Linked DNA regions of Canis lupus familiaris. The protein of the gene in region 1 interacts with the protein of each later gene in a pairwise test. Links are inferred from orthologs where the notes say so. Each region holds a gene or a part of one and is shown on either strand. Other genes may lie near its edges. The genes, in order: TRIP6, NEU4 and GSE1.

Region 1 (3,712 bases):
TGCTTCACAGGGGCAGCAGTGTGGAAATTTAACATATTCCCTTAACTCAAGATAAGTCTGGTCTCCTCCTCTTCTTCCTCCTCCTCTCACATTTGTAAGGAACTATTGTCCTTTCCCTCCAGCAGCCAGTAATTTCACTACTTTCCCAATTCCTTCCTTCTTACACATCAGTTTAGTCCCCCAGCTTGGAGTTCTTTTTTCCTTTAAGACTTTATTTATTTATTCATGAGAGACACGGAGAGAGAAGTAGAGACATAGGCAGAGGGAGAAGCAGGCTCCCTGGGGGGAACCCAATACGGGACTCAATCCAGGGCTCCAGGATCACCACCTGAGCCGAAAGCAGATGCTCAACCACTGGGCCACCCAGGCATCCCCCACCTTTGAATTCTGTCCCTCTCATGTGCTTAGACATCTAGTTTCCACCTTAGATGGAAGCCTCCTGCCTCCTGCTACCTTAGATGGAAGCCTCCTGCCTCCTGCTACAGACTCCAGCACCCAGGCCACCCCCAGCACACCCACTCACCACATAGCAGCTCTCACAGTACGCCCTCCTCTCCACAGCATAGAAATGTTGGCCCCGAAGCTGGGCCCGGCATGTAGAGCACACGAAGCAGCCAACGTGAAAGACCCGGTCCAGGGCCACAACGCCAGCCCCATCCCCAACCACATCTTCCCCACAGCCGCCGCACCGCCCTGGGGACAGGGAGGGACAGGGTCAATAAGCATGCAGAATGGAAGGTGGATTCGCTGTCCCCTTGACTCCCCAGTCCCCTGCCCCCCTTCCCACCTCAGGTCAGCTCACCAAAGTACTCCCCGGTGGGAGGATGGTTCATGTCATGCACCAGTTTCTTCGTCAGCCTCTCAAGCTCTTCCTCAGGAGGCTGGTTCAGGGGGACCTGAAAGGGGGGAGTCAGGGGTTCAGCCCTACCTCCAGCTCCCTATGCTGTCAGACTTTCCTGAAGGGGACCAGGCAGTTCCAAGCAGAAAGCTCATCTGACGAGGTCTCAGCCCGGGGCCCAGGGGTGCACCTCCAGGAGCCAGTGTACAGCTCCAGCACCTCCCTCTTCTATTTCCTGACCAGCGCCACATCCCTGGGACCCAGAACTCCAACACCCCAGGACTCCCCACCCCACCCAATCAGTGTCCAGTTGTCCATGAGGACCCCACATCCCAATACTTAGGGCTTACCTGGGGCCCATACGCGCCTCCTCTTCCTCCTCCTGCAGCCTCCTCTTTAACCCCTGGCCCTGGCTCATGGTGGCTCCTATAGCCAGCCCCCCAGACTTCACCTTGGCCTGGGAGAGGAAAGTGAGGGCCCGGGAGGGCCCCGGAGGCCTGAGAGGCCCCCCGCCTGGGAGGGCCACAGCCTCTCACTGGTTGTGCCACCTTCACTTGCACAGGGAAGGCAGGGCCAGCGGGGGTGCTGGCTGTAGCATAGGAGGCTGGAGTGGGGCCCCCATAGGGAGACGCTGAGAGCTGTTGGGGAGGAATAGGAACACCCCCTCCATTCGGCTTCAGGGAGCCTGAGCCTGTGCGGTAGGCATGGGGCTGAGGGGGCTCATAAGCCTGGGGAGAAACAGACCAGGAGTGAGAAGGCCCATTCCAGGACACACACTTGTGGGCCCTCCCACGTGTGTGTGTGTGTGTGTGTGTGTGTGTGTGTCCCCAAGGTAGTGCTGGTCTTTGACAAGCACTCAAGAGGCTGACAATCTAGTAAGATGTGATACTCCTGCATGTATCACACATGGGGGCAAGGGTGAAGGGTACCAGGTTGAGAATCTAGGGAAAGGACCAGGATGGGGAGTGTGGAAGAGGGCAGGAGACAAGGAACAGGGGTGGGACAGGGAAGTCACCTGCCGGTCTGACCGCCGTGGGGCATGACCACGACCTCCATCCAACTCAGCCAGCATGCTGGTCAGCGAATCTATCTCGGCATCCAGACTTCCTGGACGCAAGGCCCCCCTGTCTGGGGGGAGCCCCTGGAGATGAAGAAAAAGCAGGGAGAATTCAAGTCACTTGCCCCGGGTGCCCCCACCTCCCACCCACTCCCAATTCCAATTCTCACCTGTGAGCGCTGGGGTGCTCCATGGCACCCCACCCAGGGGAACCCCCGATCATCTGGTCCCCCGGGGGCCTGGTAACACTGCTCAGATGGGAGGGGGCAAAAATTGACCCTGGGGTGGGGCTGATGTGCTAGGGTGAGGGAAAAGAGAGCCAAGGTGGGGATGGGGAAGGAGGGGAGGGTGACACTTATGGAGGCCGCCCTCATGGGTCACTCTTCTCCCCTCCCCCCCCACACTTGGAGTCCCAGAACAGAGCAGGAGCAGGAAGCCGGAAGGGCTTCAGGGAAGGGGTGGCAGGGACAAGCCAGGGGCAGGAGGCAGGAACCAGAAGGCGAAGGTGAGCTCAGAATGGCCAGTGGCCTCCTTGGCGGCACTGGGGCTGCCTTACCTGCTCCATGGGCTGGCGGCGGCCCCGGGGCACCTCGGGGGAGTGCTCTCCCCTGAGGGGCTCTTGCAGGCTCCAGCTGCCTTGGGGGGAGCCAGGTGGGCCCCGACATGGCCGGGATCAGGAGACTCTAGACAGCGGTCAGGCCCCACGTAGCCCCAAGACTCTGGTCTTGGCCCCTTCTTCTGTCCCACACCTCGTTTGGAACTCCAGGAAAGAAACTTTTTCTGGCCTTTTTTTTCCCCTTCCTCCCCAATTTTGGGGACAGCCACGCCCCCGGTGACGTCACCACATTCCTGGGGGAGGGTCACGTGGCCCCCTAGGCCCTAAACTGCCGTCCCTCCCCCAGTCGGCCCCCTCCCGCCGAGCAGGGAGAGCTTTCCAAGGCTGCCTCCGTTTCACTCGTTCCCCCAGACTGGCGCCCCAAGTCCCGCACGTGGCCACCTCGCCGCTGGGACGCGCTCCAGCGCGGCTCTTTCCCACACTCCCCCAACCAGATCTCTCTCTTCCCGCCCCACCTACCGCCCCTAGCAGTGCTCAGCCAGGCCAGCCCATAGTGTTTTGGTCTTTTATTCACGTTCAGCGGTTAGAAAAATAAAACAGAACAAAAACATCACAACCTCAGGGGTCTGCGAGTCTGTTGGGCAAGGGGAGACTGAGGTAGCCGAGAGTCAAAGCAGAGACCCAGCCTCCATCAAGGCACCAGTGAAGGAAGGGAGGCCAGTGGGGAGGGCTGCTGCCTTTCTCCCCCAGCGTGGTGGGGACACAGCTGCCCTGCATTAGTGCACTAAAGCCCCTCTCACAGGGACAGAGGGGTGCCCCAGCCCAGGATCCCCTAGTACTTCCACAGGGCTCCACACCCCACACGTGGAGCAGGCGGGAGGCTGCCCTTCCCTTCTGCATCCACTGATCAAAGCAGGTCACCGGACCTGGGCACCCTCTGCTCCAGGCCCCGGGCATCAGAGATCAGTGCAAGTGACTGGGGTGACTCCGTGAATGAGTAGCGTGGGGCCCAGATCATGGGTCAGAGTCTCCAGGAGCGCCAGGTAGCGAGTGTAGCAGGCAGGATCGGCGGGCGGCCGAGGCAGGTATAGGAAAGTGAGGGCTGTGGCAGGCCCACCTTCGCCATCCGCACCCTCAGGCCCACCGGGCCCGCCTCCTCTGCCGCGCCCCTGCTGGGCCCGAACCAGGGCGTTAGCACTGCATGCCAGGGCCTCTGCCTCAGCATCTCCCCGCCTGCCATTCACAAAGTCTCCTTCCTCCT
Region 2 (3,661 bases), on another chromosome or scaffold:
GGGAGCCAAGCAGGAGAGATGGAGGCCGCACAGACCAGCTGCTCACACTGCCGCCTGCACAGAGCAGGACAGGGCACCCCGGGCCATCCTATGTGGGCCCGGGTCTCTGCAGAACCCCAAAGTCCCAGGGCGACCCCCTCAACCTAGGAGGAAGAGTTCTCTTCCTCAGGGGTAGCTGGCCAGGTCTGGCCACATCAGTAGGTTCCAAGGCTTGGTGTGAGCAGGGTAGGATGGCTGTGCCCAACATCCCACCCTCCAGACAGCTGTCCCCCGACCCCCACCCTCCTATCAGCAGGTCTCCGCCCCCGCCCAGGTCAGGACCCCAGCCTGCTGCGGGTCACTTAAAGTCACTTAAATGCGTGCCTATCAACAGCAAAGGGTTTTGCATACGTGTTTGGCCTTTTGGCGGAGGGGCCTCCTGGCCCTGTCACTTCCGGAAGGGTCTCCAGTCTGGGTGAATGTCCTGGGCCGTGCCGGGGGCCAGGACTCAGTTACAAACCACTGGCCTGGGGGAGCCGGGCCCCACACTCCTGCAGGCTGGCCCGCCCCCACTTTGACCCGCAGCCCCCCAGCCAGGTCACCGGCTCTCCGCGGCTACCCCGGGGCCCTGCAGGGCACCTGCCGCTCTGACCAGGAAACTGTCCCACGGGGACACCGTGTGGAGCATATGGCCGGGCGGCCCTCAGCCCGCGAGTGTGCCCCGCCCTTGCCCAAGGGCAGCCTGGGGGGACAGAGGAGCCTTGAGGGGCCGGGGGCAGGCGAGCAGGGAGGGGACTCACCGGGTGTCGCAGGAAGGTCGTGGAGCTGGCTGCGGGGCAGCTGCAGTTGCTTCTGCTTCTCCAACCCAGTGAGCGCAGCAGGGACAAGGGCTGGCTGTGCGGGGCGGGAGCCTGGACTGGCGGGGTCCCAGGGCTGCGTCCTGCCAGCTGTGTGGCCCCCAGAGAGGGCGGTGCAGATGGGCACGGCGGGAGGGGGGGAAGCCCTCTCTGCCCTGCAGTGCCTGGAACTAGGGGCTCACCTCCAACAAGGCTGGGCTGGGACCGCGGGTGCCAAGGGCCGCAGCTGACAGCTGACCCCTAGATCTCTGCTGCCTCCAAGCCTCCTCCAGAGACCTGCCCCTGGAAACCCAAGTGAGCACTCGTGACCCTCCCAGCACGGCTCGGACACCCAGAACGCAGGCCCCTTGGGCTCTCACTGGGCTTCAGCCCCGTGTCCATGTGAGGTGGCCGGCTCAGACTTGGAGGGGACAGCCCCCACCCTAGCACCCATGGCCTGGTCAGGACTCCCACCCGTGGCCTGGTCAGGACTCCCACCAGCTGGGCCCTTTCACCAGTGACCGTGTCCAGGTGACCGCCGCCCGGGGGCGTCAGGGGGGCCCTCAGCAGCCCAGGTGTGGGTGAAAGGGCTCTCTGGAGGGCCGTCCTGCTCAGGCTCCCTGCGCCCCACCTGTACCCCCTTGACCTGCCCTCTGACAGCAGGACCACGGGACAGACCCCAGCACCTGACCTGGACTGCCCACCCGCGTGCACCCGCTGACCTCCCTCCCACATTCTTCCTGAAGCTCTTCTTTCCGGCTGGTCTCTTAACTCGGGCAAAGACCCAGCAGGTGCCGCATCCCGGGATGGACACTGAAACTGGCCCCCCTGCCCCCCGCAATAACCTTGGCCCGGAGGAAGAGCTCTGGGGGCCCGACCATCCGAACTGTGGGAGCCGCACCCCCGACTCACTGTGCAGATGGACCACGGGGCACGGGCGACCACACAGTCGCCCTGACCTCATATAACACTAAGACCCCTGCCCTGGGAGGACACGAGCCGCACGGACATCACACACGACGACTACGTTTCGGCAGGTTTCCTTAAGGCACACGCGTGACTTTACGCCTCTACAGACAATGACAAGGCTCCCCTTCCCGAATAGTCCTCCTGACCCTACATAAAAGGAAGCCATCCACCCTGGCTCGGGAGTTGGGACAAGGTATTCCCCTCGATCCCCTTACTGCCTACAACCCAAGCTTCCTTTGGAGACCGCCTACCCACCCACCTGCTCAGGTCCTCGGGAGACCTGGGGAGAGGAGCAAGGAGACCCCCAGGTCAGTACCCTGGGCCACCCGTGCCCAGATGCAAGCCCAGGCTGTGCTGTGGACGGGAAGGGGGAGACGAGGATGTGAGACAGTGCATGTCCTCACTCCGGGCAGCCCACTGAGGCCCTGGAGGAGGGCACAGTGACCCTCCTCTGGGGGTTCGGCGGCCTCCATGGGGACACCTTGCCAAGGGCAGCGGGCAACCGTAGCCTGACCCCCCAGGACCTGCGAGTCCACCTGAACCTGTAGAAACTCCTTAGGAAACTGGCTTTCTCTCCCCGCAACACATGTGGGTGCTCCTCCCCTGGCACACAACCCCCAGTGTCCATCTGGAGGGGCTCAGGACCCGGGTTCCGGTAGCCGGTGCTAAATGACCCTCTCCTAACCACAGATGGCCCCCTGGCTCCCAAAGTCACTTGGCGACTGGGCTCTCCCTCGCCCCCTCCCACCTCGGGCTGGGACAGCTCTTCCCACGCCCGCGTCCTGCCCCTGGGCTTTCACCTCTGCACGCCGACCACGTCTCTTGGTCGTTCGATCTGGACCCCAGCGTCTCCACATCAGACACGACCCCCCACTTCCCAGGGCCTCACCCAAACCGTCTCCCTTCCTCTGTGCCCAGGGTTCGGGCCTCCCGCTGCGCCCCCAAGCTGCCGCACGGCCCGTGCAGGGGGGCCCTCTGGGACCGCGGGAGGAGGCGGCCCACACACCGGCCTCATTCCCTCTGCTCGGGGACTTGGGGTGTGGCTTTGCTTGTTTTACGTTGTTAACACCGAGGAATGCTTGAACGACAAACACTTCACCGTTTGAAAAGCTTTTATTCATAGACGCTCCCAAAAATACTCAAAAAAAATTTAAGTATGCTCGTAATGATCTTTCCTGTCCACTCATGGAGGGGAGCGAACGGCTCCTCCTAGGCCCCCATCCCCTCTCCTCTACAGACACACGAGAGAGCTGGGCGCTCTGTTTTGGTTTTTTTGCTTGTGACAAACGATATTCTATTAGTTTGAGGCTGTATCGTCTGTGCTGAGGGGACAGGAGCACGCGGCCACCCCACCGTGTGTCCGCAGACAACACAGCTGCGCCCCTCTACGCGGAGCCCTCAGCCGGCCCGAAGCTGGAAGCTTGGAGCTCTATCCCCTCCACCTGCTCACCCCCCCGCGCCCCCACCACCACCCTGATAAATGTTTGCATGAGACACCAGCCGTTTTAAATGTGGAGATTTCACAGGAAAACCTGTATTTCCAGCTTCTCTTGACAAATCAGAAGGTCCGCCTCCTGGGCTTCCTCCGTGGCAGGGGCCCCTGCCCCCCGCGGCCACCTGTCGTTGCCAAGGCCTGGGTGTCTCTCCGTCCGGCTGCTGAAGGGAGTCCTGTGCCGGAATCTGTGCCCCTAGGCTTCCCTAGGCGCAGAGACTCGGGTGTTTGCATGGTTTTCCCGGCTGTTTGCCGACACGCCTCCCTCCAACCGTGTGCCCTTTACAGTGTAACAGTATCCCGAATTTCCTTCTGCGGAGACAAAACCAGTTTACATTCCTGCCAACCAGAGGCAAAAGCAAATACCCTCGATTCCAACCGCACC
Region 3 (3,641 bases), on another chromosome or scaffold:
CCCGACCCCGCCTACATCTACGATGAGTTCCTGCAGCAACGGCGGAGGCTGGTCAGCAAGCTGGACCTGGAGGAGCGCAGGCGGCGTGAGGCCCAGGAGAAAGGTGTGGTCTCTCTGGGGGCTCTGACCTCCTGGGACCGGGGGGCAGCAGTGCCAGCCCTCCTCCCACTCCTGATTCCTGCTGTGGGCTCAGGGAGCAAGTTCATTGGCTTCTGTGTTGCTACCTGACAACCTCTGCTGGGGAGACAGACTTGGGGCCCCTGCCGGTCCTGCTACAGTGCAAATTGTCCCAAAAAGCCAAATCAAAGCTCTCTGGAAGAATAGTTCCACAGACACGCATGATTAATAAATAATGAACAGAGGCTAATAAGACGATTTTAAATATTAATAGCGCAGCATAACAGAGGAGGAGGCTGTCGAGAGAACAGGCCTGGGCCCAGTGGGGGCTCCTCAGGGGTTGCCATCCTCGGTGGGGGTAGGGCAGGGACAGATCTGGCCCCCTTCCCTCCCTGCTCCTGCAGTGGGAAGGGCGCTGGTGGGGGCGGGACTGTCAGCCAGCAGGTCCAAGGTACCCTTGGCTGTCTCCTACTTGCACACCCTGTCTGACCAGGAGGGGTCAGAGGTTGCTCCAGACCAGTTTTTTTTTTGTTTTTTTTTTTGTTTTTTTCCTGCTAGAAACGAGTCCTATTGAAATCAGTCTCTTAGCCAGAAGCTGGGACCAGGGCCAGGTCTTCCCAGGGTTCTTGCTCTAGGCTAGATTTAAGGCCCCAAAAGTATTTTTCTCCGCCACTTGTCTTGTGAGGGAGAATGAGGGAGTGCCCCATCCAGTGCCCTCGGTGCAGGGGTGCTGCTGCTTTCTACGTGAGTTTCTGTGCACATTCTCTGCCTTAGGTGGGGACCTGAGTATGCCTGGCCCCTCCTGGGTAGTGGACCCAGATGGCCACAGCAGGAGGGGAGTGGATGTGCACACACAGCCTTGGGTTGCCATGGACACGGCCCCAGGCCTGTGGGATGAATGATTCCCTGCAGAGAGATCATGTCCGTTCAGGCCACCTCAGCCTCATCACTTGGGGTCCAAAGGAAGCCTGGCATCTGCCTCCTGCCGTCTCCACCCTCACCCCTCACCAGCCATCCCTATAAAGTGCTAAAATCCTAGGACTAGGGGTTAATGCATGTTTCCACCTGGGATAAAAGGAATCTGGGGTTTTGGGGTGGTCAGGGAGGCCTGCAGGTCTTGGTCTGATGCGTGCTTCTGTACGTGTCACAGAGGGGCCCCCTGTGTGCATCCACTGTAGGATGAGGCTCCTTGCCCAGCCCAACAGTCCTTTCTTGTCCCCAGGATACTACTACGACCTGGACGACTCTTACGATGAGAGTGACGAGGAGGAGGTCAGGGCCCACCTCCGCTGCGTGGCCGAGCAGCCGCCCCTCAAGCTGGACACGTCCTCCGAGGTATCTGGAATCTCGTCCCCGTGTGACAGGTTGTGGGTGGGGCCTCTGGTGCCCCCATCACTTTCTGCTTCTTGGCTTCCCTCCCACTGTCCCGGGCAGCCCCTCATTTGCTAGGAACCCCTGCACCCCTCCATTCCCATTGACTGCAGGTTGTCTGGAAGCGCCGTCAGGGTCTTCCGCGTCTGTGGCCCAGTGTGGAGTTGGCCACAGCTCATGGGCTGCATGGACCCCAGGAGGGAGCCCCTGGGACAGTGGAAGCATGCCACTGCCAGTGGTTTCAAACTCATTTGTTTTCTTTCCCAATCTAGAAGCTAGAGTTTTTGCAACTTTTTGGCTTGACCACCCAACAGCAGAAGGAGGAGTTGCTGACCCAGAAGCGGAGGAAGCGGCGGCGGATGCTGAGGGAGCGAAGCCCGTCACCCCCGACGATTCAGAACAAGCGGCAGACGCCTTCACCGAGACTGGCACTGTCCACCCGCTACAGTCCTGATGAGATGAACAACAGCCCAAACTTCGAAGAGAAGAAGAAGTTCCTGACCATCTTCAACCTGACTCACATCAGTGCCGAGAAGAGGAAAGGTACAGCCTAGTGTGGGCCTCGTGGGGTCGGGTCACTCTGCGGCCACAAGCTTCTGGAGAAGCAGGGGCCGTGGGCTCCTGGGAATGTTCCATGCCCACACTCCTGGTAGGATCTAAAACCACTTCATCCTGGGGCTCTTTCTATTCCCTCTGGCCCCCAAGGAGGCAGCTACTTTGCTTGCACGGGCCTACCCCAGTATCGCTCCAGCATCGACTTTCTCTCCATCCAAAATGCAAATTCCCCTCCTTGGAGGGCATATCTCTTGTCACATCCTGTGCAGGACTGAAGGCTTGGTGCCATGTGTTCTGTGTGTAAAGCCTGCTTTTGACGGCTGCTCTTGTCACTTGTCAGACCTCCCAGTGCTTCAGGCAGCAAGTGGGGCGACTCCTGGGCGCAGGGTCGCAGTGCACCATCCTGCAGGTAGTGGCTGTTTACTCTTGGCAGGTGCTGCCGTGGCCCACAGAGCTTTGCGTTCTGACAGCAGGAGGCTCGGGGTGGCCTGTGGTGGCCAGGCAGAGCCAGCATATGCTGTGAATGGGACAGCTTGCCCTGGAAGGTGCTTCCAGGTCCATCTGGCCACCAAGGGCCATGTTGGGGCCACCTTTTCAGGCTGGAGTCCATAGCACAGGAGGGGTGGTGCGGTCTGAGCACATTCTCGCCTCCCCTTCCTTGGTCTGGCCCATACCTCACTTAGTGCCAGGAAGTGAGTTCAGGTGAGAACTCCACCTGTCTCGATGCTCATTTCCATGCTTCTAAGTCCAACTTGCTGATACCTAGGTTGTCACTTCTCTGGAAGGAAGTCAGAAGGAAAGCAGAAGTGTTACTGGTCACATACTTGCTTCCACTTACTTCATTAGTGGGGTGTAGCCGTGTGCTTTTCGCCTTTAACCTTAAACTGGAACCTGCGCATTCTCTTAAAGAGGCAGTGACTCATTGATCACTGGCACCTGTCCCTGGGAACAGCCATAATCTTGTTTGTAACAAGCATCTTTTTGCCTGACTTAATTCCTAGAGGAAGCCACCAGTGATGCAGGCACTTCGGTGTCAGTTGGTAACAAGTGCCACCACAACAGGAACTCACAGTGGTGGGCGTCACGGGGGTCTGGTTCCGTTTCAGTAGATGGCAGCCTTGCTGGGACTTGTGCACGTGTGCCAAGAGCTGTAGGGGAGAGGAATGTGCCTGGAAGCAGCCCATGCTCCCAGAGGTGCTGTGTGGATCTTCACGGTTGTTCCTTTTGTTGGGAGCTTTTGTGTGCCTGAGTCTTTTAAATAAGAATAGTGTCGGAAGTCACCTCTGAAGATCACGGGAACCCATTATTTTGATGTATGCACACAGCTATTTTTGGAATGCATCTAGAATGCTCTGTAGCAAAAGCTGAGCAGAATCTGAGCTAACCCTAAAATGAAAGTTTCTTCCTTTAAACACAGCCTGTTCCCCTTGGTCCTTGCTTTGCTCTTCTTGATTTAAAGGACTTGCACCTGCCAGTGACGGCTTGGGCTAGAAGCCTGCTCCCCTTCCCTCTCAGCAGTGATGCAACTGTGTTGTTAATCTCAGGCTGCTTTTCTCATAGACAAAGAGAAACTTGTTGAAATGCTCCATGCCATGAAG

The links.
Region 2: the proteins of TRIP6 (region 1) and NEU4 interact in binary tests that used the Homo sapiens proteins (3 or more experiments, as listed by UniProt). The two-hybrid records come from large-scale screens. The link is inferred for Canis lupus familiaris from reciprocal best matches to the Homo sapiens genes TRIP6 and NEU4.
Region 3: the proteins of TRIP6 (region 1) and GSE1 interact in binary tests that used the Homo sapiens proteins (3 or more experiments, as listed by UniProt). The link is inferred for Canis lupus familiaris from reciprocal best matches to the Homo sapiens genes TRIP6 and GSE1.

The regions. Positions count from the first base shown.
Region 1 is NC_049227.1:8,843,737-8,847,448, forward strand, and holds the start of TRIP6 (thyroid receptor-interacting protein 6), read right to left. Parts: upstream 2,865-3,712; 5' UTR 2,561-2,864; coding exon 2,452-2,560; intron 2,194-2,451; coding exon 2,066-2,193; intron 1,980-2,065; coding exon 1,854-1,979; intron 1,567-1,853; coding exon 1,189-1,566; intron 897-1,188; coding exon 803-896; intron 694-802; coding exon 524-693; intron 1-523. Other genes in the region: SLC12A9 (solute carrier family 12 member 9), read right to left, coding at 3,408-3,712. UniProt on the Homo sapiens protein: Relays signals from the cell surface to the nucleus to weaken adherens junction and promote actin cytoskeleton reorganization and cell invasiveness. Involved in lysophosphatidic acid-induced cell adhesion and migration.
Region 2 is NC_049246.1:51,661,137-51,664,797, reverse strand, and holds the start of NEU4 (sialidase-4), read right to left. Parts: upstream 2,823-3,661; 5' UTR 2,674-2,822; exon of another isoform or gene 2,585-2,673; intron 2,139-2,584; exon of another isoform or gene 2,044-2,138; intron 1,119-2,043; 5' UTR 1,019-1,118; exon of another isoform or gene 927-1,018; 5' UTR 780-926; intron 759-779; exon of another isoform or gene 464-758; 5' UTR 391-463; intron 1-390. UniProt on the Homo sapiens protein: Exo-alpha-sialidase that catalyzes the hydrolytic cleavage of the terminal sialic acid (N-acetylneuraminic acid, Neu5Ac) of a glycan moiety in the catabolism of glycolipids, glycoproteins and oligosacharides.
Region 3 is NC_049226.1:67,508,063-67,511,703, reverse strand, and holds part of GSE1 (genetic suppressor element 1), read left to right. Parts: coding exon 1-103; intron 104-364; exon of another isoform or gene 365-1,339; coding exon 1,340-1,452; exon of another isoform or gene 1,453-1,760; coding exon 1,761-2,031; exon of another isoform or gene 2,032-3,603; coding exon 3,604-3,641.